Linked DNA regions of Drosophila melanogaster. The protein of the gene in region 3 interacts with the protein of the main gene of each other region in a pairwise test. Each region holds a gene or a part of one and is shown on either strand. Other genes may lie near its edges. The genes, in order: mew, CNT2 and CG9628.

The links.
Region 1: the proteins of CG9628 (region 3) and mew interact in a two-hybrid assay, tested with the Drosophila melanogaster proteins (one large-scale study listed by BioGRID).
Region 2: the proteins of CG9628 (region 3) and CNT2 interact in a two-hybrid assay, tested with the Drosophila melanogaster proteins (one large-scale study listed by BioGRID).

The regions. Positions count from the first base shown.
Region 1 is NC_004354.4:13,249,585-13,258,928, reverse strand, and holds the start of mew (multiple edematous wings), read left to right. Parts: upstream 1-1,745; 5' UTR 1,746-2,097; coding exon 2,098-2,312; intron 2,313-9,344. Other genes in the region: CG15742 (uncharacterized protein), read left to right, coding at 694-1,305. UniProt on the Drosophila melanogaster protein: Integrin alpha-PS1/beta-PS is a receptor for laminin.
Region 2 is NT_033778.4:9,074,158-9,084,803, forward strand, and holds CNT2 (concentrative nucleoside transporter 2), read left to right. Parts: upstream 1-4,563; 5' UTR 4,564-4,754; exon of another isoform or gene 4,755-4,784; intron 4,785-5,958; coding exon 5,959-6,012; intron 6,013-6,070; coding exon 6,071-6,266; intron 6,267-6,319; coding exon 6,320-6,521; intron 6,522-6,583; coding exon 6,584-7,348; intron 7,349-7,412; coding exon 7,413-7,740; intron 7,741-7,807; coding exon 7,808-7,988; intron 7,989-8,049; coding exon 8,050-8,135; 3' UTR 8,136-8,217; downstream 8,218-10,646. Other genes in the region: ana (anachronism), read left to right, coding at 1-302, 683-931, 1,716-1,788, 2,213-2,639; CNT1 (concentrative nucleoside transporter 1), read left to right, coding at 8,317-8,461, 8,513-8,828, 9,055-9,819, 9,876-10,203, 10,264-10,444, 10,505-10,542; CG13742 (uncharacterized protein), read right to left, coding at 10,587-10,646.
Region 3 is NT_037436.4:14,616,342-14,628,674, reverse strand, and holds CG9628 (uncharacterized protein), read right to left. Parts: upstream 5,880-12,333; 5' UTR 5,768-5,879; exon of another isoform or gene 5,642-5,767; intron 1,835-5,641; 5' UTR 1,803-1,834; coding exon 1,781-1,802; intron 1,656-1,780; coding exon 1,549-1,655; intron 1,341-1,548; coding exon 1,180-1,340; intron 1,120-1,179; coding exon 882-1,119; 3' UTR 501-881; downstream 1-500. Other genes in the region: RecQ5 helicase, read left to right, coding at 1-212, 271-374; shd (shade), read right to left, coding at 7,092-7,202, 7,279-7,494, 7,623-7,862, 7,920-8,097, 8,163-8,757, 8,948-9,230.

The DNA.
Region 1 (9,344 bases), on a different chromosome or scaffold from region 3:
TTTCTTTTGCCAAGTTTAATAACTAACGACTCGTATTTGCATGATTTTTTTTTTTAATAATAATAATTAAATTTATAAAGCAAGCGGTTGATTTTTTAAATTGGTAGAGTGCTCGAGAGCTCTTTAATATAAAAGTTGTATATGTATAAATATTAATAAATTCTCGCCGGGCTTTTACTAACAAAAAATGTAATCATTTAATTTTTTAAGATTTTCCGGTAAGAGAAGTCTTAAATTGCTACCGCATTTATACCAGAAAATTCGTGGTCCACAATAATCGATTTATCGATAATATCCGACTGAACGAAAATTCAAATCTAGTGTGCGAGGAAATTTAGAGACGAAAGTTTACGTATTTAAGCGTCCAGTAGTCATTGAGTTAAGTGTAGCTACCTGATTCGGATAATTAAGTACTTTTACTTTTTTGGGAGCACAACAAAATTTTGTTCTCGTTCTTACTTTTACACAGCAAAATTTTATAATTTTTTAAAATTTTTCTGCCGGGCTGTTCGACGAAGCAAAATCAATTTACCAGTACTACGACGGTGAGTGACGATGCCAATCGCTAACTTTCTGTACACACGTATGTTACCATTCCGAGAAAGTTTCTAGATAACAAACACGGCCATTGCAGCTTACTTGTATAATAAAACACATTTCTAACACGCTTTTTACACGACAAACCGCGGTTCGATGTCAAAAGTTCGATGCAATAAGATCGACCACTGCTTGCTGGGCGCAGTTCGCGGCATTAAGCCGCCCTATCGCTCGGTGCGTAATGCCCAAGACGGCGTGATTAGCACCTTCCTGGACAAGTACAGTAGGCCCAATTATTTTGCCATCCGCTTGGTGATACCCGCCGAGTTGCCACCCATCGATCTGGCCGAAATACTTATGGACATGCTAAAGATGCAAATATTGCGCCGCAAGAATTGTATCGCGTCGTCCAATTGGGTCAGGATGAAATATATATGTCAATACGGCAGCAAAGCCGATGAGACGTTCATCATGCATGACAGTGCCATGAGAAAACTGCAGCAGGCCATTGAAGAGCTCACCAATCTGCTCGATCAACTGAAGCTGGCGTATGAGCCCGTTTCCTATGGACGGATAGCCGTGCAGGCTCAACAGTTGGATAAGCGGGCCCAGATATGGCAGAATTTGCTCAACGGCCGCAATGAGCAGTTGGAGCGCCGTTTAGCTCGGGACATTTCACTCCCATATCCTCCTGCAATAGATGCCCGCATGCGCATTTCGAAAAGTTATCAAGTTATCAACCATATGCGCACTTGGCGTTTCGGCTAAGGTCAGCAAATTAGAATTTGGTCGAATTTGTTTGTATATCAATATGGTCACTAAAGATGCTGCTGTGATATTTTACCTTGCTTTTGGATATATATACATTTCTTTGGATAGCATCTACCTGGACTGAGACGTTCTACTGTCATAGTGATTCTGATGTCGTATGACTTCTATATTAACTTTAAATTAATCGAGTGCAACGCATGTCGAGATTAATAAATAACATATCAACAACAAAACACAAACTTTGACTTACCTCCGCGCTGCCCGAATTGCAAACAAAGAGAATGATGTTATCCAGCCCTCTAGTGTAGTGGAACTGCTTGTGCGTCTGCTTGCTATATGTTTGACCACTGCTTGCACAGCGCACATGTATGTTCGAACCATGTTCGAACCATGTTCGATGGTAGCTCAGTAGCTTAGTGTAGCTCTTCTGTGCGAAGCATTTTATTTTTCGTTTGCCCGTCGAAGAAGGCGAAGCGAAGAGAAAATATCTGCCGCTTCGAACGCACGCTATCAATGTCTAATTCTTTACGTAATAATCATTTTTTTTTTTGCTGTGTGACTGAAACGAAGAAATATACGAGCAAAAGTGAAAAATACGTGGACTACCTGTTGATCCAAAGATCTCAACGGATTTAGTGTGTGTGTGTGTGTGTGCGTGCGTGTTTTTTTTCGGTTCATTGTTTTGTTTGCAATAGTGCAAAGGAAAAAGTAATCACTTTGCCGTGTTCGGTGCACGTGCACGAAATATTTATAAAATATATATTAAAAAAAAAAAACATAAAATTAACGATGTTGGAGCTACCGTTTACCACCATACGGCCCAACTGCCGGCTAAGACAGAATCTTGGTATTCTGATAATCCTGCAATGCGTTCTCACTTGCTACAATTTCAACCTAGAACAGCGATTGCCCATTGTGAAGTACGGACATCCGCATTCGCATTTCGGCTACTCGGTGGCCACCCACACTATTGGCGAGGCCAATGGGCCCAACAAGACCAACTGGTAAGTGGATAGTTAAGTGGATAGATAAGTATCTGAAAGATGCGTCCAAAGTATGCGAACTTCCAAAGTGAATCATTATCTGCAGTTCATTTAAACGCTTAGGCATATTTTTATTTTTCAACAATCAATTTTAAACTTGCATCCAAAAGATTTATTCGAAAAGTGTCTTGTTGTCTCAGCTGTGTTTTTTTTCTTTAGAAAAATGTTAGGTAAACAATAATGCTGAAGAACAGGTAGAGAAGAATCCAAATCCAAATTCGTGTCCGAATCGGAAATTCGCGCCAAGAATCTTGTTGGTGCGCAAACAGGTTTTTATATTCGCCAAATCGATTTCAGCTTAATTGACTGGCATTGATTGTTATTAATCAGCAGCACACGAACAATAACAACAACAACAACAAATAATAAAATAATAATAATAATAAGAAGAATTTGCATTGCAATCGCTGTGTTTGTTGCTGTTGTTCAGGGGGGGGGGGGGGGCTATCAAAGTTTGCTAATGCGCGAAACTTGTTTGAAATCGTGTTTTTATTGTTGAATTACCATAAATTGTTTGAATATCGAGTATTTCCAGAGATGATGCCAGGTTTTAGATGTTTTTCGAATCGAAACAAACCATAATAAACTGAATGCATATGCCAAATGCAATGACAGCAGATAAGTGTTAAATATTATATTTGTTTGTTTCTCTTTTTTTTTTTTCGAATTGCTATTTGAAGAATTTCAACAGTTTAAACGATTTGTCATCCTTACTATCTGAGAATTTGCCTGTTTGATATTTTATGGTTTTGATTGTTTATTTTTGTGCAACTGATAAGCATAGTTGGTCGAAGAACAGACGAATTGTTTTAATGTTTCCCCCGACATGGGTTAAACCCTTGAACTATTGCGACTGAAGCGGATGTGGATTTATTTGCATTTGTCATAGATTCTTTTTGGCGAGGGCTTGGTGCTCATTAAATGTCTCGTATTGGCGACTTTATAAGTTGGCCAACTCCTTTTCGCATTCTCTATATACAATACAAGCAATACATAGATAGATAGATAGATAGATACATTGGCCAAACCAAACTCGGTAGACAAAACGGAGCCAGACGGCCAGTGGCCATAAAAATGGGCAGACAACAAATCTGGAATCAATACAAGCTGCGACTTGGATGCGCCAATTTGCAGCGAAAAAAACTGAGTTGCTAACATTTTAATACATTTAATACAACTGAACTGGCAATCGAGTTATTCCCGCCACATGGTGTGGTTTCTTAACCATGTATTGTGGTAAAAAAAAAGAAATTGTGCCATTCGCGGCATGCCCCATCGCTATCACTCGGTGCGTAATGCCTACGTAGGCGTGAAAAAGTCATGTTCCCCTTCTCTCTCTCTTGCCAAGTAGTGCCCTCTCCTTCGGTCACCCGAATAAGGGAAAGGGATATTATTATTATACTTATCATATATATGTTTATATATATCATTTATCGGCCGACGAGTCTAAGTGTACCAGCCTGAGTCATTTGGGTTAAGTAACGAAATGTCACGTATTGAAAGTCCAACTGAAAATCAATAGACCTTCAAAAAAAAAAAAATAATAAAAATAAATTTGCAAATGAGATGCATGATAAACTTTGAGCTTTAACTTCAATGTAATGGTGATATTATATGGTGGTGACCCCGTTTGGCAAGAAGTGGTGACCCACGCTGTTTCTTAAATCTGCATCGCGTCTTTAAATGACGCACTTGAAATCGGAAGAAGCTGTAATCCAAACGGAAATTGCTGTTTTTTTTCGCATCGAAGGCTAGTCCGATAACTGCAGTGAATTGCACAGTTAACTTGAATTTCCAGCTCGTTTATTGCGCGCCTTTTGTTTTTCAGTTTTGTTTGCACTTTGCGATTGTCGCATATTTGTTTTATTAATGAAAAAAAAGGTACGTATGCAAATAATGTGACTCGCTTATCGCTGGCCCATCTTAATTTTTTTTTTGTACCAGCCATATATACCAGCGGTTACGTGGCGCAATTATTACCTTTGATGATATGGTACAAATTGAGATAAGCCGCTGAGGATGGTCGATTAAGCTATACAATTGTTTTCGTACCCTTGCCGTGGCATTTACAGCGCCATAAAAAATGTGTATATATGTAGGCGACTTTTTTTAATTAGCACCTTCAATCAATCGGCATTAAATAATGATTGGCTTTGTTAATGAACTACAATTTCATTGCGCTGAATACTCAATATATTGCAGATTGAAAATGGTATGAAAATGCTAGCACGATTTTAACTCGCTTGCATGTAAATAAATCTCTGAGATTCGGTGTATCTCGTAGATGTTGTATCTCATGTGGGATACTTCTTCTGCATCGCGAACAGCTCACTGGTTGTGTTTATGCCGACAACATGTGTTCCTTGTTTGCGCCAAAAAATATAGAAGAGAACAAAAACTAAGAAAGAACTTAAAAAACTTTTCGGCGAAATGAGGTCAACAGACGCCAAACAGTCGCAAGAAAGGAAAGGTTGGGGGGAATGGTGGTGGTTGGTTGGTTGGGTGGTTGGGTGCTCAATGGGGTGGGCTATCCACTGGGGGCTGGTCGACAGTTTATGGTTATTGTTGTTGCTCTTTTACTCGCTGCTGGTGCGTGTGTCTCCCGCCAAATAGTTGAATAGTTAACCCAGGCCCAGCAACACAAAAAAAAAATAAATAAAATAATAAGAAAAATATGGGAACCCAACCCAAAAGTCCATTTCTCATCTACCCGCGCACCCAGCACCCCCTTTTCCACCATTTTCCTATTTTTTCCACTCGTAAGCAAATGAAGCCAAAAACGCGAAAACGAAAAGCGACAAGGAAATGGCCAAAAAACACTTGCTAAGGCAATGTAAGCTGGCAGACATGTGTGTATGCCATAAATATGCGCACTGGCACCCACAGTGAAGGTCACAAAAATGCATGGAATTTAGTTAAATATTATTTAATATATGTAAACTACAAATAATGTATTACATGCCAAGAAAGTTATTTGAAATATTATTTTTAAAATAATTTAAACTACAAATGTAAGCTAGAAATGTATTTGAAAAAATGAATGATTTTACTTTAATTTCGATCAGCTGCTTACTATTTTTATGACCGCTGGTGTTCATATAGATTCTCTGTAGGGATCTTTGGGCATTAAGTGCGGACTTTTCGACTTTTCTAAGGCGGCCGAAGCAAAAAAAAAAAAAAAAGGAAGAGATGGGGGTGCGACTTCTGGCAGCCAAGATCCATGAGAAAAGTTCACTTGTTCATTTTTGCCAACAGTGAACACTTACAGTAAGACAAAATTGTTTTAAGATCCTAGTTTTAATATACAGCATGTGTGATATAAGAAGCATTAAGAGCACTTAAGGAAAATTGCTTAGATATTTATCTATCTATCTGTAAACTTTTGTCATACTGAGTGCCCACTGTGGAAGTGAAGCCGCCTGCTCAATGGAACGTTGAGCGGGCCATAAACATGCGTGAAAATTCAATTGATTTTCCGGGGAGCAGAAGGCGGCATAGTTGGCATGCGTATTTATAGAAAATAGAGGAACAGCCTAATGCTGCACACGAAAATAAGAAAATAACAAAATAAAAAATTGCCTATTTTGGTGTGGGAAACAAGAGGCTGGCCTATTCGGATTCGCATCGGAAAACCGATCTGGCAACTGGGATTGCGAATGGGATTGCGATTTTGCCTGGGCAGCCGCCAGCTGTCGAGTGGCGAGATACAAGACGGCGCAGATATTCAGATACTCCGAGAGACTTGCAACATAATTTCTGCCAGCAACTAATGAGACCCCAGGCTCCGAAAGTGTTGCCACAGCCTCAACTCCATGGAGCTGCGCAAAAAAAAGCGCGTGGGCTTTGATTTATTGCCAATTGGATGGCAGTCGCACAGCAGAATCGCGCTGAAGAGCTGCGAAGATTTGGGGCGGAGAGCCGCCGCTTTCTGGCCCCACTCGAAATCCCAAATCCGAATCAAAATCAAAGAGGAAAAAAATAAAAAACAAAATCCCATGGCCGCGTGGGTTAAACACGAAGTTGCAAAAACGAAAAAAAAAAAAAATCAGAAAAACGCTCACGATGATTTTGCGCATAGAAATCAAAGAGCCCACGCCTCGGGCTCTTTAAAGTGAAGAGAAGAATCGGCCCACTAGAAGAACTGGGCACTGAAGATGCTAGCGACCTCCGAAGAATCGCGTCCCTAAGCGAACGATAAATCAATAAGCTCCGAAAATGTGGCAACCGCTTCCACTCTGCCACCGCTCGAAACTCCGACAAATTGCCCACTGGGCTGGGCAACCGCAATCTCTTAATGACGGAGGATGGGCCAAAGATCAGTGGGCTTCGGCAGAGGATCAGCGAAATCCAAGCGACAAAACAAAAAAAAAAAAAGGAGCGACAAATGTTGGGTACTACACAAATGCAGGCTTTAAGAAGAACACTTCTTCAGTTCCCAGGAAGCATCTTCAGAAGAGAAGTATTATACCATATATATGTATGTATATTATATATATGCATATACATATATTATGTTAGAAGAGTAAAGAACATAAGATCCAATATTATCTGGATCATTGGAATGCTCGAGATGAGTTCAATTAGATAACTGGGTTGTCAATTTAAGTGTTTGCATATAACTAACTAGAGTATGCGAAAGCCAGACCTCGACCGAGACGAGGTGGGAACCGCAGATCCGAGATCAGATCCCAATGCCCGATCATCGCATGGCACTAACCCCATTGGTATCGCAGTCACATGGGTGAGATTTATGGAGCAAATACCGTGGTTACCCCTTTTATTTGGCCACGGATCCCTCGCTGCTTTCTGTTTGCACCGCGAGAATTGTGCGAATGAAACTCGTTACCACTGGGGGAGAAGAGAAAAGGAGATAGAGAAAGAGAGACAGAGAGAGGGAAAGACATAACACGGCAAAACAGGCCAGACAAAGCCGCAGATGGATCGAACCATTGCCAATAACCGTACCTGCCCCAGTCAACAAACTACACTGAAGAAAATGCTCTAGTAGTGAGAATATTTGCATATGTGTTACTTGCATTTGATTTGCATATTTGTTGGATTGGCAATTGAGTATTCAAGACCCAAAGGTTGAGTTTGAAACCAATCACAATCCCCTTGCTTGATCTTTTTCTCCAGTGCATTGGCAGTAAGCTGAGACTTTGTTGGAATCGCTCTCCATCTCCGCCACATAGAGCTCCTCTGCGGCACTACGCCCCTGTTAACCTTCCCGTCCACCTCAATCCGGTCCAAGTGGCTTCTGCCCGCTTCTTCTCTTGGCGGATCTGCGATCGTGTTGCTAGCTGTTGCTTGTTTCTAATGAAAACTGACGCCGTTCGGTTTCTTTTTCCCAACTCCAGTTGCTTTTTTTTTTTCGTATGTTTTTTTTTTTACGGTTTTGCTGGTTTTTTCGGGGGGTCTTTGCGTGCTGAGAGATCGGTTTTATTTTTCTCCGATTTTTTTCTGTTTCTTTCACGGTATTTTTTTTTTTTTTTTTTGGGGTATTTGGTTGTAACGATTTTGGCTGGCAGTTTGTTAAACATTTTGGGCCATTCGGGGTGAACCAAATGAAGATCGTATCGAGCCTTTGGGTTAGTTAGCATCTAAGAACGTTGAGTAGGAGAGAAAACCCCAAATGAAATTGATCACTTTTGGTGTTATGGCAACTCTACACGAGAGCGGCAACCTTCTTTCGCTGCAAACGGGGTCACCCTTGGCATTATTTGATCAGCTTAAACGTTTGAGCCACTCAAAGTGGTTAACATTTGCGGCTAAATGTTATTAATTTGTTGATGTTGCTTAATTGAGATTTTTCTTGAATCTGATATTATATGATCATTTTCTTACAAAAAGAAGATTGCTATTTTTCTGAAATAATTATATTTATGCATCAGATTTGACACAAAGAATCGATTATTTGTACCGTTCTAAATTATTTGATGTCTTTTCCATAGACTTTTCGAGTTCTTTGCGTCTTTTCACATTTTTCTTAGATTTTAATGGACTTTTTCTTCTCCTGAATTATTTCTCTCTTTTCTTTTGGACCAGGCATTTTCCTGCCTTGATTGCTAGCTGTTTGCTCTTGGCATTTCGAGACGAGGCGTTTGGCTTCGCGCAATTTGGTTGCAACTGTGCCGCGGAGTTTTTCACATTCCCTGCCACCTTTCGCCGCTTCGCTCGGCCCTTATTTTCACTTGGATTTTCCTCATTTTCCCGATATGCATCTTCATCTCTTCACCGGGTTCTTTTTCACATGCTGCTGCGAGATTTTCGTGGCTCGTTTATTTATTATGATTATTTATTTTGTTTTACTTAGTTTGCGGCTGCCTGCCACAGATGTTGGCAGTTCATCAGCTGAAAAAAAAGGGGCGGTGGTCGGCAGGGGGCGGGGCTGCCCACACACATATTGAAATACCGACATATACTTGCACATGGGCTGAGGATTGATTAGATTTGTTCGGTTGAAGATTTTCCTGCTCTTTGCTTTCGAGTTTTCTTCACATTGAAAAGTTCAACAAACGCTTGCCACGCCCACTGTCGCCCACTTTTGGGAAGTCTTTGTTTGTCTCCACCCGTAACACACCCCCCTCCCCCTTTTTCTGTTACAGAGAGCGAAAAGGCATCAAGTTTAAAAATGGTATTTTATAGTAATATTTTGAATTTTTCATAATTGTTTCATAAATCTTAGCATTCGCACTGCATAATATAGATTTTTTTCTAAATTTTCATACACTAGTTTCATATTTTTTTTTTGGCATTTTGTGCTGCAGCAACTCTGCGAATGCAAATCCTGCCGCAACTCGACTTGCCACGCCCACCCGCCTTCGAAAAGCTATGGCACGTGGGCGTTTTTTGGTGCCATGTTTGCTTGACGAATTTTGACTTCGACTTCGAGACATCGACTGCGCGAGTTCGGTTTCAGTTTTTTTTTTTTTTTTTTAGTTCGTTGCTGTAAAACCCAGCTGCAACTTTAGAGCGCAACACCCAGACTAATAG
Region 2 (10,646 bases), on a different chromosome or scaffold from region 3:
TTGCAATGCGGAGACAACCAACCCGGAGGACTGGTCCCTGGGCAACAATGTGACGCTCCAGTTTGCCAGCAGTGTTTTCATATCCAATAACGACGACCGTCTGAGCAGCGCCCTTCTCCGCCTCTACAAGACCAATCCTGGCCAGACTCGCGAGCACAATCCCGGCCAGGCTTCGACTCAGCCCATCAGCACTGAGAACCCGGGCAATACGGCTCCAAATTGCGCGGAGCAGCCACCCGTGGGTCCTCAAATCCGTGTCACCGTCTCCATTGTCCACCAGCAGAGGAAGAAACGTAAGTTAGGTAGGAGGAATCCAGAAAGTCAAACTTAGAAAATGCAATTTTTGATCACTCAATAATCCAACTATGCAAATTTTATTATTAACAAAATAATAACAATAGTTATTGCAAAAAAAAATGATTTTTTTATAACACAGCTTGAGCTTTCAAATATTAAAATGCCTATTATTAATTTTTAAAACCTCATTAATTGTCTTGACTTCGCCATAAGGCCATCTCAGCAAAATGTAAATGTTGTACATAACGAGTTATGTAAATTTTAAATGCGGCTTAAACTTGCACTCCCGAACATTTTGCTGACCCAACATAAAATTGTTTTCGATCCATTTTTAAATGGCCTAGAACTGCCGACTGAGAAAACCCAATCTGTTTGCCATCCTCAGAGCGCAAGAAGCGCACCTGCAACACCGCCATGCTGAGCAGCTCCTCCACCGGCTGGGTGGAGATCGACGTGAAGTGCGCCCTCGCCTACTGGGAGCAGCAGCACCGCCAGCAGCTTCGCCAGCAGCAGCCGCTGCAGCCCCAGCTGACCGCCAGCGTGGTGGGCATCCTGATGATCGAGGTGCACGACGATGAGGAGAATCTGCTGAGGCCGGGGCTCTACTTCGCGCCACCCACTTGCGACCAGGCAGGTAAGCGTGTTGTTTGCCATGTTCAACTAACCGCCCGGGAACGGAGTGGAGGTATCTCGTCCTCCCCATCAGTCACTTTATCCATCATCTCTCACTCTCCACATACATACAAATCTCTTATCCCAACCGAATCGGTGGCGACAGGCCCCTTTTGACACCTTTAGCACACGGCAATCAGAATTTATTTACATTCGCGAAAAGGTCATTAGTCAGGCAACTTCGGGGGCCGGCCAGCAGCCAGACGTAAATTGAGCTGGCAAAAAAACGTACTTTCAATGTAATTCCAGACTGCGAATATCGGTAGACGTAACACAAAAATACCTAGTCGTCTGATTCTGCCGTCAGCAGAATCTAAGTGTCAATTTACAATTCATACCCCGCACGTTTTCCATTCGAAATGCTTCCGTCCGTATATTTGAAATCCATTGGATTGGGTTGGGTTGGCTCCAAGTGGAGCGGAAGTAACGAAAGCCCGAATATCTGTTTTGGATTGACTCATGTCTTGAAAGTTATTGCCCTGGATCGGTAAGATACAACATCGCAGAAGCAGATTCAGCTCAAGGTGCTACTAATCAAAATTGCTCATTCGCACCGTTGTGCGCTGCGCTCGGCTTTCTTTGTCGTTCAGTTGTTGTGTTTTTTGCTCCGCTTACTTCTTGCCGTTGGTTTGTTTTTGATGCTTATTGCATGCCCTTCATGTGCGCATTTTTCAATTTGCATTGCATGACCTACGGCATATTGTACTCCGATTTTAATGGTCCCTTTGGAATCACGTTTATTTCAGACATTGCTGTCCCATGGAGCGTTTACCGAACAGAACCGTTTAAGTCTCATCTGGCGAGTTGGACATTGCCAAGGTAAGTGTTGTATTCGAATTCATTTAAATTTGGGTTTCCATTTCAAAGTTTTGCGCCATACACTGCTTGCTCGCGTATCGATCGTTGTACTGCTTGCCAACTGCTTTGTACAAACGATCGCTGCGTAACACTAATAAGTGTGTGACCGTACTTGAACAAGAACCACCGTTTGAAATAAAATTTCCCGCCAATATTCGAACTTCTGTTATACTTTTTAAAAACGAAAAATTTAAGGTATTAAAATTCAATTCATTTCCTTTTTATTTAAAAATCGTTTTGAAAGGTGATCGAAATCTAATCTAGCCAGCAGTATTAAGAATTAGGAGTGTATATTTAAAAAATTTGAAATATATTAATTATAACTATAGTTAAAATGAAATCTCGCCAAGCAAATTATTTGTTAACTATACCATATTTTTTACAGAAAACCAAGGCTAGACATCTTCTTCAACGGTAGCAACTCCATGAAGAACAGCTACAACACCCCCAAGAGCAGAGCGTTTATCGAATCCACCACATCCAACTCACCCACGATCGACAACCAGCTGGACGAGAGCGGCGAGTACGAGAGCCAGCAGCGTGTGCATGCCCCCCTGGTCCACCACCGGCGGCACCACCACAACCACCAGCAACCGGAATCGGAGTCCGAGTCCGCACAACTCGAGGCCGAGATCGAGGCGGAGGAGCTGATGTCCTCGGCGAGCAACAGTGAACAGCAAATGGAGCCGATTTCGAACCACCACCGACATCGGACCGGCCACCATCACCCGCATCACCAGCTGCACCAGCACCATCACCATCATCATCGCCACACCAAGCACCACAGGATTCCAGCCCACAAGCAGGAATAGATGCCACAATCACGCGCCCATCGATTCCCCACTTTCTCTCCCCCGAACTCATGCTGGTCTTAAAATAATGTCTTGTTTTATATTTGTAACTTTAGGGCCAGTTGACTTAATTAGTTTTTAGTTCATCGGTTTGCCAACCGCGTAACCTTATTTAAATTATATTTTAAGTTTCGTTGTAAGCAGTGCCCATTTTCGGTCAAAATTTGATTTTATTTTTAAATCTCCTGTACTCTAGAAGCCTGTGATTTAGATGGGGTTGAAGTCGCACATTTTTGCAACAAAAATTGTCAAAGCCTCAAGAGGAAGGCAAGCCCGGAAAACAATTTATACGAATTTAAGTAATATATTTAGATGCTAAACAAAATTAATCAATGCCTTATCGAAGCATTACAATCCCTAACTTCTGCACAATTCCCTCGAAAACCAGCAAGCCAAGAACGAACCAAATCAAGCATTTTCGATTCTATTGATAAGTGATTAAAGTCCCGCAATATAGTTGTGTTACATCATAAATAAGTCACTAGGTTTAAAGTGCCTTTCTGCTAAATCTCAAAATTCCCCATTGGAACCCATTGACCCTTTGGTTTTAAGATTTTAAGAACCACATGTTCATCCAGTCAAAGCACATTGTATCCCTAATCCTTCATATCCATACCTACTAAGTGCATTTGCAAGTCGATAAATGAAATATAAAGATGAATATGATCTATTAATAAATTTAAATCGCACGAACACGTGTAGAGTTGCGAATCAAATATAAAGCCAGTTGACTACAGACTTTCTTGTATTATACCCCTTTTGGATCAGATTATCACACGAGGGGCTCGACGATAAGATACGATGCTCTTTCCTATTAAATCGCACAGAATTACGATTGGCAACCTCCTTTAACTTTGCACCCTTCGATTGGCCAATCAGTTGTGTCATTCTGCTAATCGCCGACCACCAATAGAAGTCTTTATCAATGGGCGGGTGTACGACTCGGTATCGCGGTAGCCTTCCTCTATCGCAATATAGCTATCAGATTCCTCAAACGTCATCGCTATCGCATTCAATCTGCTGAGGGGTTTATGGCCCTTCTGAAAATTATCTGGCACTAATATCGGCCTAGAACGCATGCCGAGAACATCTCATTGTTAACAGCCAGCTGATAAAACAGGCAACATGTCATCTCAATTGCCTATTTAGCGGTACACTGCCATCGCAAGTGTATTAGGATGCACAGGGAAAAATAAGTATAAAGAACTTAAAAAGATTATCAATCGAACCTACTTGAAAATAGGGCAATTGATCATCATTAACTTAATATTAGACTGATATATCTCAATAAATATTATTTATAATATCTTCAAAGAAATTTTTTTTTATTAAAATAAGAAAAGTATAAGATGATTGAAACCAATGTGGATTCTAATATTATCTGCCTGTTTTCAAATGTTATTAAATTATTATTTTTATTTTATATTATAATTTTTTAATTGATATTAAATTGATCTTTTTCATCAGTGATCCATTTTGCGGCATTGCACTTTAAGTTAAAACTCAATTTGTAAAAATTGAGTTGGTACAATCAAGCTAATATTTATTTAATAATTATTTCACTGTGTAGTTAAACCAAATTAACACCTTACCAATCGGTATCACACAGTATTAGCTGGGTACTCAAGTACCCATTGATTGCTATGATGAAATAAAAAGCCTCATTAAATATTAAAATCGAGAAATTACAAATTTCTTACGAGCTTTAATGTTAATTTGAGGTAAGCTTTGCTCTCAACTTATATTTCTGTAAATCAAAAAGGCCAAATGGTATCAAGACACCATAAATTATTAGATAGAAAAAAGGCAGTGCGAATCCTAAACCTGATACCTTCTTATCAGATACCGTGTAGTAGCGATTGTATTAAAAAGGCCCGTTCGGAGCAAACCGAATTTAGTCTTGCCGCGAGTTTCAACGAGCTACAATGGCAGTTAGCCAACGTTTTTAGTCTGGCTAAACAGATGCATTTATCAGTCATTTGTATTCGGGCAGACAATAACGACGTTAAAAACCCGTTTCGGCCATAACAAACCTATAGTACTCATCAGATACGAAGCAAAACAAACAGTAAAAAGGTGAATTAACTGTCGTTCCAAAAATTCAAGGTGCGATCATTATATAGACTTAAAATACAAACTGAATACTCGTATAAAAAACGTGTTTTTGAATGTGAACTCTGTATGATTTTAGTCAATTTTGTAGAAAAAACAATAATCGGCAAAAAACACGTGTTCTCGAGGCTGAATATACATATAACCATGTTCTCAGAGCTGGTCTATTAAATATAAGTGCTTTATTAACTTTCACGAGTTTGGCTAAATGCCACTCTGATAGTGCTATCAACTCTGTTTCGATTACCCAGAATGGAAAATCCTAACCGAAAGACCACCTAACGAGGAACTATACTATATTGAATGGGATTTACAGCCCGAATTTATCAGGAATGAGAATTGAAGTGGATTATTTATAGCCTGTGCTGTAGTTTACAGCCCAGTCCCGTTGTTGGCCTCTTAAGTTAATGCCCGGAAATTATTTGAGTGGCCATCCACGTGCTGGAGTTTAGTCATTGACTCTGAAAAACTAAGTGCCCAATTCAAAAATCCTGGCCCATGTGCAAATTTTAAAATTGGAATCCGCGGATCCTATCGCTTGCTTTTGAGTGGCATGAATCGTTCAAATTGCCAAACTTTGATTCAGATAGCTAACACACACCTATCTTGTGCTGTGCGACACTTGGCATATATGCCCACTCGAGTCGAGGGCTAAAATAATTTGAAAGAGATAATGCCAGATTATGATTGCGGCAAATTACTTGTCGCTGGGTATTAATACCACATACTCGTAGTTTTTCTCTAAGTATATTAGTTTCGTTTAGGGTATATAAGATATATATAGAATATATATAGAAAGAATTTGACCCTATAAATAGTATATTCTTCATAAGGATCCGTCAGTTGTCCGTCCGTCCGTCCGCATGAAGTTCGATATAGAACTCTAGGCAACTTTAGGCATGCAAGTTTGTTTTAAGCCGTTGCCACGCCCACCGATATCGCTAAAGTCTGCCCACATGCTTAACGTCTAAATAATGTTGTGATAGGCTTATCAAAAATAGGACTCGTTCAAATTGGACCATTAGAAAGGTATTAAGAGTAAGCTGAAAGCTTATTAACAAAATATAGCAAGTAAATTTGCTGCCAAAGCAACAACTCGCTTTGTTGTACCGGGTATATAATAGTCGATACACTTAACTTAAACGTTCTCTCTTGTTTTTTGTTATAGATGTCAGCCGAATCATCAAAAGGAGCTATTAACAATGGCTACGAACTGGATCATGTAGGTTTTTAATTAAAAAAGCTTTGTAAACCAGATTAAATATTATAAAATGTCATAGAAGGAGTTGGACATCCGTGACTCGGAAGAATTCACGGAACATCCACTGGATGACACCAGCGAGGTGGCAAATAAAAAGGGATATTTTGAAAAGAATCCAAAAGTAGCGCGACTGGTGAGGATCTCGATTTATGTACTGCTGCATCTGTGTGTTGTGGGGTACTTCTCATATGCAACCTACCACTATCACGACATAAGTAAGTATATCGCCAAAATAATTAGCAAGAAGTATACCATTATTTATCTACAGCCAACTATGAGTGCTATTGGAAAGACAACCCATTGTGCGGCATCAACTTCTGCACGGGCTATGGAATGCTCCTGCTCCTCCTGGGATTCATCTATTTGGGTCTATTCTACTACTATGTCTTTAAGCCGATGGTGGGGCACAGCCTGCACAGGAACTATATCAAACCATTTTCAAAGAAATGGCACAACTTCAGCAGAACCAGGTAAACTATTATGAAGAAAATATATGTTTAAATCTTCTAACTACTCCTCTTCGTTTTCCCAGAGTTGTGTCATTGGCCAGCATCGCATTGCTCCTGGCCCTTTTGGCCATCTTTGTGTACTTCGAGTGCCGGGACGAGACCCAAAAACTGGTGTCCCTGGTGGCACCCTGCTTCTTCATCCTGTGCGGCTACGTTTTCTCCACGAATCGAAGAGCCATTAATTGGCGCATAGTCATCACGGGAATCACGTGCCAGTTTCTGCTCGGCATTTTCTGCATCCGCTGGGAGGTGGGACGAAAAATCTTCGAGTGCTTGGGCAACAAGGTGGCCACGTTTCTGGGCTATGCCACCGATGGAGCCGAGTTCGTGTTCGGCGACTTCCTGGTGAACAACAATGTGTTCGCCTTCGCCATCCTGCCGGTTATCTTCTTCTTCAGCTTCTTCATCTCCATCCTGTACTACATGGGTACAATGCAGTGGGTGGTGATCAAACTGGGCTGGATCCTGCAGCAGATTCTGGGCACCACTGTTTGCGAAAGCGTGACGGCCGCAGCCAACATCTTCCTTGGCATGTCCGAGAGCCCGCTGCTCATTCGGCCGTATATCAACAAGCTGACCAAGAGCGAAATCCACAGCATCATGGTGTCCGGATTTGCGACCGTGTCCGGAACCGTGTTGGCGGCCTACTTGTCATTCGGTGCATCGGCCGCGCACTTGATCACCTCCTCGGTGATGGCAGCTCCCGCTACTCTGGCCATCTCTAAGCTTTACATGCCCGAAACGGAGGAGAGCCAGACCTCATCCGATTCAATTGAACTGGAAAAATCGTACGTATTTCTAAGGCGCCTAGTTTAACCCAAATGTCTAACTAGTTCACTGTCATCCTTGTAGACAGGACTCTTCGCTGCTGGACGCAGCGTCCAGTGGTGCCAGCAACGCCGTGCCCATTGTTCTGGGCATTATCGCTAACATAGTCGCCTTCGTCGCCTTCATCGCCTTCCTAAATGGTCTGGTCAGTTGGTTTGGTTACCTGGTGGGTCTCGAGCAAATCGACTTCGAGTGGATATTCTCTAAGCTGTTCATCCCGCTGGTCTGGGCCATGGGGGTGCCAAAAGAGGATTGCGATATCATCGCCAAGGTGGTGGCCACCAAAACCATTATCAATGAGTTTGTGGCCTATGAGCGTCTGGGTCAATACATCGAAAATAATGATATCACTGTAAGTTGTAGATGGTGTGAAACCCATAGCTCATCTGGAAACTAACGTTTGAGGTCGATTTTTGTAGGCCCGCAGCGCTGGAATCGCCACATTCGCCATCTGCGGCTTTGCCAATCCCAGTTCCCTGGGCATCCTTATCGGATCCCTCAGTGCTATGGCACCACATCGTCGCTCCACCATTACAGCAGTGGCTTTCCGAGCGTTTGTGGTGGGCAGCATAGTCTGTTTCGTATCCGCCAGCTTTGCAGGTCAGTCGATAAACGATCATAAATATTTCTTATTATTTTAACTAGTTTTACTTTATTATAGGCATCCTTATACAAGAAGATGACGAGCGGGCGAACTACAACAGGATATTCGAGAAGTTGGGTCGAAAGAATGTTACTCAGTTTTAGTTCCTTAAAGTTGTAGTTCGTGATAATTAGCTGATCAAATTTAGCAAAATACAATTCTTATTTATTAAAGATGTTTAGGATTATTTTTACCTATTTGTTTACTAAGGGGCTGTGGGATATAAGTCATAAGATCCACACAACACTTCTTTACACTACACACTGTTTCTCATTTATACACACAATGGCAGAACCAATAGAAGGCGAACAGGAGGAAAAGCCTCCGCCATCGAGGGCAAAGCGAATCACCTATCTGGTACTCCATGTGCTGCTCCATATCATATTCATATCTTACTTTACGGCAGCCACAATCATTTTCATCTTTTACGGTAAGTTACCCCTTTGAGTTCGAATGTAAATGTTTATGAGGAAAAACCCAGACAAGGATTCCAAAGAATGCTGGCCCAATAGGGGCTCGGAAGCCACAACCGAATCGATAGATAACTCAACCGAAGATGATGATGATGATGATTATGACACAGAAGAAACTTCTGAGAAGCCAGTGCCAGAGGTTAAGCCAAAACTATTGTGCCAAATTAACTGGTGTCATGGATACGGGTTTCTCATCGTCTTGTTCATCTTGTTTTATATCCTATGGCTGTACTACTGGGTATTTAAGCCATTCGTGGGCATCAAGCTGTATAATAACTACCTGGAACCAGTGATTGACAAATGGATTGCGTTTAGTCGCCAGTGGTGAGTACAAGATCCTTTGAGATGATCTCCCTTCAGACTTGAACAGCAGTACCATAAGTCAAAAAATTGTAGATGTTCAGGACCTGTAAAGATTATCCATTCGAATACAATATATATATATTGGTTAAGAACTTTAGCTCCTGTCCACAATGTATTTGAGGCTCCAAAAGATTCTTCTAAAAAGCTAAATGCTTTAATCCTTATTTTCCATTTTCTCCAATTCTAGGATAGTGTCCGGCGTAATGCTGGCGATTGTGCTCGCTGTGGTGGTGGCATACCTCGGATTCGAGTGCCGCAATGACGCATACAAGGCCATCGGACTGCTCGGACCTGTGTGCTTTGTCCTTATCGGATTCGCCGTGTCCAAGCACCACTTGCAAGTACCTTGGCGCATAGTGACCCACGGTCTCCTGGGACAGCTGCTGCTGGGCATACTCTGCCTGCGCCTCCCCTTTGGCCGGTCCATCTTTCAATGCCTTGGGGACAAGGTGACGATATTTCTGAACTACGCACAGCACGGAGCACGCTTTGTGTACGGGGATCGCATTTGCGATGAGTACGTCTTTGCATTTGCCATACTGGCGGTGGTGTTCTTCTTCAGCGTGATCACCAGCATTATGTATTACCTTGGCTGGATGCAGTTCATCCTGAACGGTTTTGGGTTCCTCTTGCAGGCCATGGTGGGCACCACCGTTTGCGAAAGTGTAAATGCAGCGGGCAACGTGTTTCTAAGCATGACCGAGAGCCCTCTGGTCATCCGGCCGTACATCGAAATACTGACCGTCAGCGAGTTGCACGCTATATGCACCTCCGGCTACGCGACAGTGGCCGGTACTGTCTTGGGGGCTTATGTGTCCTTCGGTGCTTCCGCCAGCTTTCTTATCGCAGCCAGCGTAATGGCTGCTCCGGGTTCACTGGCTTTCGCCAAACTGTTCTACCCCGAGACCGAGGAATCTCTGACCAGGTCCGACAACATTAAGCTGGAAAGCTCGTAAGTTCCTCTTCATAAGAGTCAACATTTGATAATCGCCCAGACACCTTGCCAAGGACGGATACGTCTATTTTGGATGCGGCCGCCTCGGGAGCTGCAGCAGCCTTGTTGATTGTGCTCGGAATCGTCTCGAATATCATCGCCTTCCTAGCCATTGTGTTCTTCCTAGACGCTGTAACGGAGTGGATTTTCGAGCTAATTGGACTGCATAACATCACCCTACTCTACATTCTCTCCCAGATCTTTATCCCGATTGTCTTCGTGATGGGCGTGCCGTGGCACGATTGTCAAGCAATTGGCCTGGTGGTGGCCCAAAAGTCGTTCATAAACGAGTTTGTGGCTTATAGAAACCTGGGCATATTGGTTAGCGATAAAAAGGTTGATGTGAGTACCCATCTGCATATTCTATTCTTATAGATTATTTTAAAACTAGTATTCTTATAGCCGCGGAGCGCTGCCATAGCCACTTTTGCCCTTTGTGGGTTTGCCAATCCCGGATCCCTGGGCATTGTCATCGCTTCGCTGAGTGCAATGGCACCATCCCGACGATCAGACATCACCAGGGTAGCCTTTCGATCCTATTTCGCAGGCAGTTTCGTTAGCTTTACATCCGCTTCGCTTGCAGGTAAACTGTCTTTATTTACACGTTATTTTTAACCGCCTTATCGCACAACATCTTAATTAGGGATTCTTATTCAAAATGAGTACACAGGTGGTAATTAATTGATTTAGGTAAGTGAGCGATACGAAAAGCATAGAGCAGGGAGCTAGGGTACAATTCCACTCAAATTGGCCATTACCTTCTTGAGCAATTCCCAGTCGGCAGC
Region 3 (12,333 bases):
GGAATCGTTATCGAACTTGAAGAAGGAAGGATCCGACTCCAGAGTTTTGCAAAAGGATACAAAACCAGAAACCAGAAACCATCAAAAAACAGATGTCAGCAAAAATGTGGTGCAGTGGCTCAATCCGTATTATAAACGAAAAATAGCCACCAAAGAGCTTTTCAAAGCTTTGGCAAAATTGCTCACTCAGCGCATTTGTGATGGAAGCTTAGGTAAGATATTCATACTTCCTGTCTGTTAATACCTTTAAAATGGACCATAAATCTCTAGGAGATGGCGATGCTGGAAAGTGCTATATAAAGGAAACTTTTCATGGCCTGCAGATGATAAACAACGATCAGGACATTGAAAAATATTTCATAAAATCCAAGTGACTAAAAATCTCCTAATGATTTTATCACGACATATTGTTTCGCCTCGTTAAAAGTTGCATCATCTTTTTTTTTCGTTAGTTACTATTTTTGTATATAATAAGCGCATTAATTATCAATAATACATTTAAATAAGACGTTTTTATTTGGACAGTTTTAATAGAAAAACTATTAATTTGGGATATTATTCGCTCGTACAAAATTTATTTGCGTTGAATCTTATTTATTAATTGAATTAGATATAACATTCGTGATGCTCGATGTATTAAGCTTATAAAAAAAACAAAACAGGGCAGCCGATTAAGAACTTTAAACCTCCTCGGACGTCGATTTTGTACATTTTCGATTCGATGATGGCAATTTGTTTTCTTGTGGGATTACAATTAGCTGGGAGACGGGTATGTGAACGGGGCTCTTACTTCTAAGCTGGAGCTATAAATATTACAGTCCACGCTAGGCGAGAATCGAATGTATATCTCTTTCTCGCCAAACTTCACGGGATCGACCATGTCATTCTAGATCACCGTGGACACCTAAACGCAGGGTGATGAGTATGTCCAGCAAGAAGACCAGCGAGGTAACCAAGGCAATCGAGGCGGAAGCCATCACGAGATCCAAACGATGCATATTCGGGTGCCAGTAGTTGCGATCCTTGGTGGTGGACCAATCCCGGAAAAGCAGGGCGGTTACGGCCACGAAGAGCACAAAGGCCACTAGATTCCACAAAGTAGCCGTACGCCATGGAGTCCTATGTGTACATTAAATATATCAGTACTAGCATTTTAATTAAATCAAACTTTAAGCATACAAATCACCGAAGAGCGCCATTATCAGATAGATTGCCGTGTAGATGGTCAGTGCTCCAAAGGTCACATAGCAAAGGGAAGCCACTCGGGGAGTGATGAACACCCGCAGATGAGAATTGGTGGCCGGCTCGTCGATCAGACCCAAACAGCATATAAGCAGGCACTATGGGAAACGACGAATAGTTTTCATAAATTATTTGTGTTTTTAATCATTTTTTTTAACAATTTAGGCATTACTGGGAAGCCGTCTCAAAATGCTGAATCTTTATAAAATGTAATTGGACACCATGAAACTAGTTTCTTATCTGATTTTTAAAAGTTATTCAAAAGATTTCCATTTAAAGGAGTATTTAAATTTAACAAAAACTCACCAGTTCCACAATCTTGATGCATATCACCGTGTAGGTGGCCTTTTTGTTTCCATGAGTTGTGGCAAAGGAATTATCGTCAGCCGGCGACATTTCGACGCGTGAGATTTCTGCACCGAGCAATTAAACAATTAATTAATTAAAGAACACTATACTATATCAATTGGTATTTTGGCCACTTTGACATTTGCTCGGAGCGAGGAAAGAATGACAATAAAACTTATTGTATATGTACCTATCGATCGCAAGTAGCTCATTTTGCAGAGTCTGATTTGGATACGTTTTCGACCTACAGAGGAAACGGAATCTTCAATTTTGGCTTTTTAGTGTTCAGTTAAAGTCGGGTTTAGTGGCCATTTTTGGCCTCCATGTCTGGGTTATCGGATATTTGTTATTGGATGGTCAGTGGAGCGTGCAAACGAGTAAAACCGAACAATCTACGTTCTGTTGTGGATTTGTGTCAATTGATGGCCGAAGGTCTTCCTCTCCCACATGAAATACATCCAGTTGCAGACCGAATTGATTAAGGGCACATTCTGCGATGATCTCATATATTGGGTGTGTGGGACTTTTGGGTGGGGTATATATCTATGTATCTATGAACATATGGGGCTATATTCGACAGCGAGGTGCCGAGATGCATACCAAATTCAACCTGGGAATGCGAGCAGCCTACGTGAGTTTGCATCAAAAAGTCGTATGAATAATAAATCCAACTATAATCGCTGTCTTGTGAACCGTCATCTATAATTCCATTATTTTCAATCATTAATTGCATACCGACAATGAAGCTACTGTCGCTCAATTGTCACCTCTTTTGGACACAATTCAACACCTGTTTTGATATATAGTTCTTTATTCTGATTCTACACTAAAAAATAAGTGTATCGAACCGGAAAGTAACCAATTTCTGTATATCAAGAGAGAATTTTTCCAAAAAAAAGTTTAAACGAATGCCACTCATAATTTAGAAGTTCTCTATTATTGGATTCTTTAATATCAAATATTTGCATACTATTGAAATTTACTTGGAATTCAGCTTAAATGATTTTCTGGGTTATCATAACCGGTAACTCGTTTTTGCCGTGTATAAAGTGGGGAATTGGATCTCCACTTCATGGGCAACAATGGTCCCCCCATTGATTGAAGCTAATTGCATCACATAAAGAACAAAGCATAAAATCCCAATATTAGCCAAAGGCACGTTCAGCAAAAGTGAAGGGGCGGACAAAGAGTAGGGAACTGTGCTAGTTAACCCCACGATGCGTAACCCCATAAACAACAATTAAAATGTGAGGGGGGGGCGGGGAACCAGAAAAAATAAGTCAAACTCGAAATGAAACTGGAAACTCAACACAAACCCTAAAAAAGGGCCACGCACAACTTTCACTGCGTTCGGGGAGGGGGAAAATGTGAAAGGGAGTGAGATGGGAAAGAGCTGTAGAGAAAAATGGAGGGAAAATGATAAAAATGGGCCCAAGACACTCCCTATTTACAAAACGAGGGCTCGGAGCTAATAAACATTTTAGTGTCTAGGTTCTGGTTGCAAAGGTAAACAGCAAATGGGTAAAGAAAACTACCACTATTGAAAGCAGTGGAATGTAGTTAGCTTTTTGTATTAATCTATTTGAATCCAAAGTGATAATTTCATATACTAACAGTAACTCTCCACATCAAACCAAATATATAAAAGTTTAGGTTTATATCAAAAAGTTTTAAACTTTAGTTGTTCACTTTATTGTAAAACAGAATTGTATATATAAACATATATAATAGATTTCTTTTAAGCCAATTCTCTACCCGTTAAATCTCCCCACTAATTTTCGAGTATGTGGCTCTCCAAGATGGGAATTTCAGTGAATAACTGCTTGCGTGTTGTTGCTAACGAGTGCTTCACGTTTTGGCCCACACTCGAACACCCCCCGCAGCACCCCTTTGAACCAAAAAAAATAAACAAGTTTTCTTTGGCGGCGCTTAGAAGAAAGCCCAAAAAGCAGAAACCAAACAAAACACACGCAACAAGCCACGAAGCTGAAAAAAAGGTAAACAAAACGTATTGGCTAAGAAAACTTGTTTTAGAAAAAAGAGCATTTGGCTTAAAGAGAGGATCTAAGAGTTCGACTACCTGCCACACCTGCGTATTTTAAAGGGGATATTTTCTCTCGAAAGGTAGGCATAATTTAGTGGCCAGCACTGTGAATTAACCTCGTTTCGCTTTCAGGCTCAAAAGGGACTGTTTCACACTAAGCAGCCCTATAACTGGTCTGAGTTTTGGGTCAATGACTCGATTCTCCGTTTTTGTTTTGGTTCTTCGATTCTATCCAAAGAATTTGTTTAAGCCATTCCCATCTTAACTTGGGTTTATATCTCTCATTTCCGGACAACCAGAGATCCAAAGAGCTACATCATCTGTACTATCTGTATTTCTCAGCTTTCAATCGCAGTCTTGGGCAATTGAAAAATGCAACAAAACTTGTTTGCTTACCGCCCCCTTTTTTGCCCCCCGCGCGTGTCTTAACCCTCACCCATCACTTGCATTGATATGCACAACTGCAAACTGGTTGCAGGCGAGAGCGACAGGGACGGACGATGGGGGAGTGAGAGGGCAGAACCACCTGAAACACAAATACATATATGCAAAAGGCGCCTACTGTACTTGGTCATCGCCATAGTTTTTACTGCCCGCGAAGGGCAGTTCGCGATTTTCCAGCTGCATTTTCCAAACACGGTCAATACCCATAGAGGGTATGTATATATTGTACCAAGAGGAATCATTTTCGCGTTTAACTTTTACATATAACCAATTATTTTTTTTTTAATTAAACTAAGATGTGTCCTCAATCAATCAGAAAGCGTTTAAAAAAAATCTATAATGTAAAATTTTGTATTTATTTTATTTTATGGTTTTAGAGAGTAATATCCTTACGTTTTGTTGACAATATTTTTGTTATCACTTTACTTAATACTGTTGTAAACAAAAAGTAATGGCAAGCCATAAATCTTATGAATGGGAATTTTGAAGCCTTACAACTTGAAAAGCAATGTTCATGGCGGCATTTTTGCAAATTATTTAGATATTCCTACAATATCTATTGCTACTGCACTTGCCTTTGACCCCATTGAGACCCACACCACGTTTGGTATGGGGAAACATTTGGTTTGGGGCTAAAACATGCAACATTTTGCGATGTGGGCTTACGAGGGTGGTTGGTGCTTGGGGGAGTTTTCTAGGCGACTCCCTTAGGGGTTGTTGGTAAATTCAATGCCAAAGCAATTGGCCAAGGCTCGTCGGGATTTACCATGAGTGTACTGGCGTTACTGTCACTGTTATTGTTTCGTGTCGGGCCTGTCATTGAAGGTCAGTGCCCATAAATGATATTGGTATTGAATCGAAAGGGTTCAGTTAGCAAAAGGGAACGTGTAATTGAGTGCTAATATAAACAACAACTGGGTTCAGAGTTTTTGCCATATTGTTTACATATTGACAGATTTTGAACTAACAGCGTTCAAATATTTAATGTGTTTTCAAGAACGGTAAAGAAATTAAAAAGCTCATTAACTTAATAACTGCTCGTAAGTGCTCCAAGAATTCGTATACTTTAGTTGAGCACTACCTAATTGTTTTTTTACGCCAACGTAAGATATCTGTTTTTTCGCTTTATAAACCCCAGTATTTGTCACCTAATTAAAGCTGCATCAAAGGGAAGGGGCCGCATTGATGGTGAGAAAATTGTCAGTGAGTCACATTAAACAAACTAATTTGTGTTAGCCAGTGTAGTGTTGTGTGTAGATTGTGCAAAATTAGCATGTCTAACAATAACAACAAACTACTGCGATCGTCTTGCTGATGTAGTTATTGTTGTATCTGTGCTTGTTTACTGTACAATTAGCTCTGGGTGGGGCCCTCCGATCTCACAGACTCCATTCGTATGAGAAGATCTTTGGGGGAGAATCAAAACTTCAACGGAAGCTGAACAAATTTTACGTTTTCTTGTTTAGTGCATTTTCAACTTGTTTAAACATTAGTAACTGCCGAGCAAACGACAAACTAGTTTTAGTTTTTACTCAGAATTTCATTTTTGGGTTATTATATTACATTTTTCAAATTTTCGTTGAGTTGCAGATAGGTGCGGTACACAAGTGCAGCCAAATGATTTGGGTTAGCTGTTAAGTTATATCTCACACTAAATACACAGATAAATCAATGAATTCTTTCACGCGCGTTAAATAGTTTCAGTAGTTCAGTTTAAACTGCGACTCAGAGCGGAAATTGGTTTTTTAAAAACCGTCTTTCAAAAAACCTCTGAAACCGACGACACGCCAACGACAACTGTTGTAACCTGAACCCAAAACCGAATCCAAAGCCCGCCAAACGAGCTATTGAGCCACAGCCCAAAAATAAGAGAATATTTCCCAATGAGAATTATTCCCAAGACGTGTGTCAACGCTTGCTGAACAAATATTAAGTCATATTATGGCGGCTTAAAAATTAGCACATGCACGCCATGTATGCAAACAATTTAATCTCGAGTTTTGTTTGAAACTTAAATGCTCTATTAAATTTTGAAGTAAAATTGTGTCGTTGGTTTAAAAAAAAACATTTTAAAAACAAAGCCCAGCTTAGTGGGAAGCGACTGTTGAAAGCTTTTATGAAATTTCCCTGCTATAATAGTAAAGACGTCAACCGAAACCTAAAATCGGTACCATACAAATTTAAAAAAAAAAATAAAGATATTTAGGGTCATTTAGTGTGTGTTTAGTATTTGCCAAAGAAAACAAAAATAACTACAATAAAACATAGGTCTAAATAAGTCTCACCATTGTATGATGAAAAATGCATTTTTAAAATAAAAAGGCGAGAAAGCTAACCTCCTGTGCTATAATGGGTCTCAGAAAATAACTATTAAATGAAACTCAATAATTTATATTATAACATTTATCATTTGATTTCTGTTTAATGTAATTAATTTTCTTTAATTATTGTTTTCTTTTAACAAATATATTCACAGATGTAGAGATGAAATAAAGACAAAGGCAGTAAAAACACTTGAATAAATACAATTAAAGTTAAACTGTACATAATTAGAGTGACAAATTTTTGCGAAACTATGTACAGAAAATATGTAAAACTGTTAAAATCGTGAAAAACAAAACTTAAACACAGTCTTTCCGTTTACAGAACTCTCAAAAACAATTGCTGCTAGTTATTTGCTACGACTAAAAATAAATTTAAGAAGTAATTACAACAAAACATGACGTTTGTATATACATTCTAATCTACTTTACATCCAGTCAGCATAAATTTGTTAATTTATTTTAATTGGTTTAGCTCTTTTTTGATTGCTTCACAGGACTAGGCTGCTGATGCTGGCTCATCAGGGATAAAGGATATACATATATATGTATACAGATATGTGTAGAAACCTAAGCATATTTTACATTAATTTTACTTAATGGTTCAGTTCTTAGCTATTTTAGTTGTATTTGATACAAAACGCCTGAGGGTAGGCACTGTTTTTCGGATCAGTTTTCTAAAGCACCCATTATCAGAAAACCCGATCGCTGAGTCTTAGACTGAGTGGAGTTTTGGGTGCCAGCAGGAACTCGAACTCCGTTTCCAGTGGCTTCACAAAGCTCACATCAAAGGCTAGGACCATCTGATAAAGATAAATTTGGTTGTTTTAGTCAGTGATCCTAGAAATACGATCCCTGGGGCTTATGGATTATACTCACCTTAGCTAGCAGCAGCACCACCTCCATTTCCACAAAACGCTTTCCTGGACACGATCTTCGACCCACGCCGAAGGGCACCACAATACTGGCATTATCCACGTTCACCGTGAAATTCTCCGTGGCAGGATCAATCCAACGCTCTGGGGTAAACTGCTTGGCCCCTTGGAAGTTGCTATCCTTGTGGCAGGCTATCATATTCTGACATAGCACCACAGTCTAAAGATCGGAAACAAATTATTGATAGGAGAAACTAATATTTATTTCCAAAAATAAAATATAAAATAGTAAATTCCAAAAGCTTGGAAATAAAAGTGAGAGTGATCGAAAACTAAGCTTTAACTTACCCCTGCATTAAGCGAGTAGCCCGAGAGCTCCATGTCCTCCTCCAGGATTCTGGCCAGGCAAAAGGCTGTGGGCCTCAGTCTGTAGGACTCCTGTATACAGGCCTTTGTGTATGTGGCATTCGTTAGTGCATCCTGCAGGATATTCGTGTCCCGATACTCGCAGAATTCACTTAGGATTCGTGGCATAGCACCGGGATCTCCAGTAACAGAACTCAGTACAAACAACAAAGTGTTGGCTAACTAAAAATTAAAAATTGTTTAACATGAATTCCATTTGAAATACTACCAAACACCCACCGTTTCTATGCCAGCGGCAATAAAGTCTATGATCGCTGACTTTTTGTCCCTGATATCCAGATCCTTGAGCTCCAGAATATTCAGAAAGATACTTCGTAATCCAGCAGCCTCGTCATCCTCGCAGGCAGCCGACTTTTTGAGTTCCTCCAGCTCATGATCGATGATCTCGGAGATCACACTGGATTGAGAGCGATTTAAGTTAGATGGGAATAGAAATGGGAGCCCAACCTTCTGTGTACCTACTCATAGATCAAGTCCTCGGCGCGGGCAAAGTCCCTGTACGTTTTGGTGGGAAAGTATTTCCACAGACCTAGACCGTAGTACGAGTCCCTTTGGGAGATGAAAAGCTGTTTAACAGCAGCTGCCAGTTGGCTGATCTTTTGCGGCTGCTTGGTATCGATAGCCAGGAAACCCATCCTTCTGCCCAACATTAAAGTGCACACAGCTTCCAGACCCATCAGATTGGCCAGCTCTTCGAAATTGGGAACCACCAGTGTATCCGGATCCCGCCTGGCTCGCAGTAGTTCGATAAAATCATCACAAACCGCATTCAAGGCTGGCAGGAAATTCTGCAGGACCCTGGGAGAAGTAATGCTGGAGGTCAGGGAAGATCGTAGGCGCTGCCACATTGGTCCTTGCTCGTTCACAATTCCAACACTTGCATAGCGATCCGGTCGGGATTGACGGTACATCACGATGATCTCAGTGGGAGGTCGGAATGGGTATTTGCTGGGGTACTTCAGCACCTTCTCCAGATCATCGCGATTGTACAGGTGCACTATTGGCACATTGGAGGGCATCACCTCCAGCACTATGTCGCCATATTGTCTGTTCAAATCTAGAATGTACATTTAAGATAATAGAAATAGATTATTAAAATACTTGAGTTACTAACTCAGAACTACAATAATAGAATTTATATTAAGTTATAGAGCTAAGAAATAAAACCCATTTTCAAGACGTATTTTTAATAGAGAACTTTGAAAGGGAGAGATTTTAATAACTATCTTAACTAAATAATGTCTTACCCGCATATACCTCGTGCAGCTTGGTCATCTTGTACCGTCGAAAGAAGAGCAGGAATATCCACTTAGTGCCCAGGAAGGGAATCCTCTTTGGCCCGGGTATGTCCCAGATGCCGCGCCTCCGCCTCTTTGGCGCCTCGGGCTGGATCAGCTCGGCATGGTAGAAGTCCTCAAGGAGCGTGTTCTTCAGGAGCGGCCGGAGGTAGATATCCGCCAATTTGTGCCGATGGAGAGCGCAGTAGCAGCCAAGTACGAGTGCCAGGGCCAGCAACAGTATCACGGCCATTACCATGGGGCGCTGCAATTAGAATTCTGGGTCTTACTGTGTTGATCCGCTTTGGAGGCACTTATGCTAATTCCCGCCAGCAATTCTAGGTCTTTAATTGAAGTCTGGCCTTTCGTTTCGAATCGATGCCAACCGGTCGACTAATTTGTATTTGACTTTATACAGCTTTTTTGGTCACAACAACTGATCATCGATTTTGCATTATTATTGGCAACACGCGATAACACTTTGTTCTCGGTTCTTGGTTCTTGGGTTTTTGGCTATTCTGCAAGGCAAATGGCTGGCAGAAAAGAAACAAGCTTTTTGGGTTTTCACACTAGATAAGATAATGTCCCAACAAGCGTGATAAAGTTCAAGGTTAATAGCCAAAAAAAAAAATATGTGTAACGATTGTGTTGCGAATTTCAAAAGATTGCAAAAGCCTCTAATTGTGATGTTTATTGGGGATTATAAATGTTTATAAAGTCAACAAATTCCGCAAGACCAAGTCAATTATTCTATGCACGATTAAATAGGCACACAAAGAGCCATTAAAATAGAGTGCGTTAAGGTCTTTTTTCTTCTCTGCCGTTAAATTAAAATTTAAAATTTAATTAATCTAAAATGGAAATTAATCTTGTTTTAAAATCAAAAGTAGACAAATGCCTAACCTACCCTATAAAATTGTTGAGTGTTCAGCTAGTTATATCAGAAATGCGAGATGATAATCTTTTGAGGGTCTGCCAGACAATGAACACTAAGTGGAGAGGAGAGGATTTATTTTTCTTATTGGTCTTTTTTAGGTGGAGTTTTTTCCTTGTTCTTATAAGACCATTCCGTCGAAACCTTTTTTCTATTCCTATTGCCAACCGGATATAAAATACTATATAAATAAGATGAAAATCGATTAAAACTTCAAGGGGGCTACCTGCTCAAAGTGATTAATGAACTACCCGGTTAAATACAAGAAACAAAATCAGAAACCACGGATAGATGATCGATTCTAATATTTGCCCTAGCCACACAACAGAACAGCCACACGATCGCTTGGCAAATAAATGCGGAGTACGAATAGAAAACCTCTCTATGACTTTGGGCTACCGAAAAATGGTATTTGCAAAAGAATCAGAATGCCAGATAAGAAGTCTTCGGTCCCAGGTAAGTAATGTCTTTATCTACGTGACGCCACTCGCTTAGAAATGTGCGTGATACTCGGCGGGAGAGGTGTGGCAAATCTATCCATTAATGCAAATTTGCGATTCGCCAATAGGCCTGTGCAAATGTAGAAAAAAATGGACAGAAAGAAGAAAATAAACTGGAAATACAAATCACAGACATCTGAGGCGAGCACTTCCTTCTTGGGGGCTTAATCACTTCCTCATCTCATCATGAGATCGCTTCTCAGCGCGACGCGTGCGCTGTTCTATGCGCTTCTCACTTTTCCAACGTGCTTAGAACAACAAAAACACAAACTCGCTTTTTAATAAGAATTCTTGCGAATTCTCCTCTGCACCGGCCCCATTCTACGGCTCACTCTCTGATTAATATGCAGATGGGATCCACTCACGACTCACAACTCCACCTCGTTCTCATCGTTAGAGTTGCGTTAGAAGCAGCCAAGAGGTATATATGGGAGGGAGCTAAAGCAGCTGGCTAAAACCGGCTTGGAAACCAGCTCCCAACTCCAGGCCAAAAGAAGGAGAAGAAAGCACCCAGCGGTGGGTAGAAAGCATATTATGTAACCGATTATTATGTAAAACAAGAAACGATGGGAAAGTTCTTTCTCGTGGTTTTGTTTTCTTCGTCGCTCTGTTTTGATCTTGGAATTTCACAATTTCTGGCCGTCATTTCTACAGCTCAACTAATTGGGTTAAGACGCAAATAAAAATTTCGATTTTTTTTTCGATTCTTTCTTATTGACTATTTTGTTCTACAGCCATTAACGATTTTTGTTTACCCCAACAAAAATGTAATAAAAGAAATCGAAGTTTATGGGTTCGGGAATGACTCGGCTTAATGGTTATTTAAGTATTTATTTTGGAAGGTGTACGAAGAGAGGTTTTGGACCAGAAATCTATACTTAACAAAGAGTACTTTAAAAGTTACGTATTTCCGAAATGCATGACTTTGCTGGTATGTGTAAAATTATGATTTTATTACTTATTCAATAAAGAATTGATAAGAAACATTTACTGCTTCAATATACATTTTTATATTCTTTTATTTTGGTTTGAATATTTGGCTTTAGTTGTTAGGTACATTTTTAAAATATCACAGCGATTCTTTCACTTTTCTTTTGGCAAACCAGCTTTCAAAGCGTTTCTAACATGAGACGGTTTTCTTCGGGTTCTGGGACGGAAAGCAAGTTTCGATAGTGGCTTAGACCAGGATCTCTGCAAAGTGGCAAAACGGCAAAAATCTAATGAGAAAATTTCTCTATTTCTATTTGCAAGGCTTACTTTGTCGCTCGCCGTTTGCACGTCGTCTTCCGTACGTTGAACTTGCCTAAAGCCAAAGTCGAGATAATGGATACACAGAAAATAATTTCCAAAAATAATAATCAAAAATTTCAAAACCATTTTATTTTTTTGTAGTAAAGAAATACATGAGCATAGTTTATTTGGGAATAAGCATATCGAAATTAACATTATTTTGATATATATTTAAAGATTATTTTACTTAAAATATAAAAATACATTTTTGCATGTTCTTGTAGCCACGAGTTTTTTCGGCCAATGAAGGAGGTAGGAAACAGCTGACCGAGGAAAGAAATTGTTAAGCCATGTTTCCCGTTTGTCGGTGGTGGCCGTGACCATGAAGCCCCGGCCGATATCTGGTCGTGTGCACTCTATATATGTGTATATAGCTATATGGCCATACGAATGTGAGTGGCACAAGTGACATAATCTGCTGATGTCTGGCTCTGCGGATAGCGAGCCGTTTGAGCTGAGCTCGGGTCTTCTGTAACTGCGCAGCGGTCCAAGCTTTGGGCCATTTTTCGGCGGGTTCTTGATTCCGAGCGATTTGCATAAATGTGAAAAATGTGCCAATAAAAATAGCCACGAATAAATAACGAATAAAGAATCAATCGACATATATAGAAGTATGTAAATTCTGACGAAAA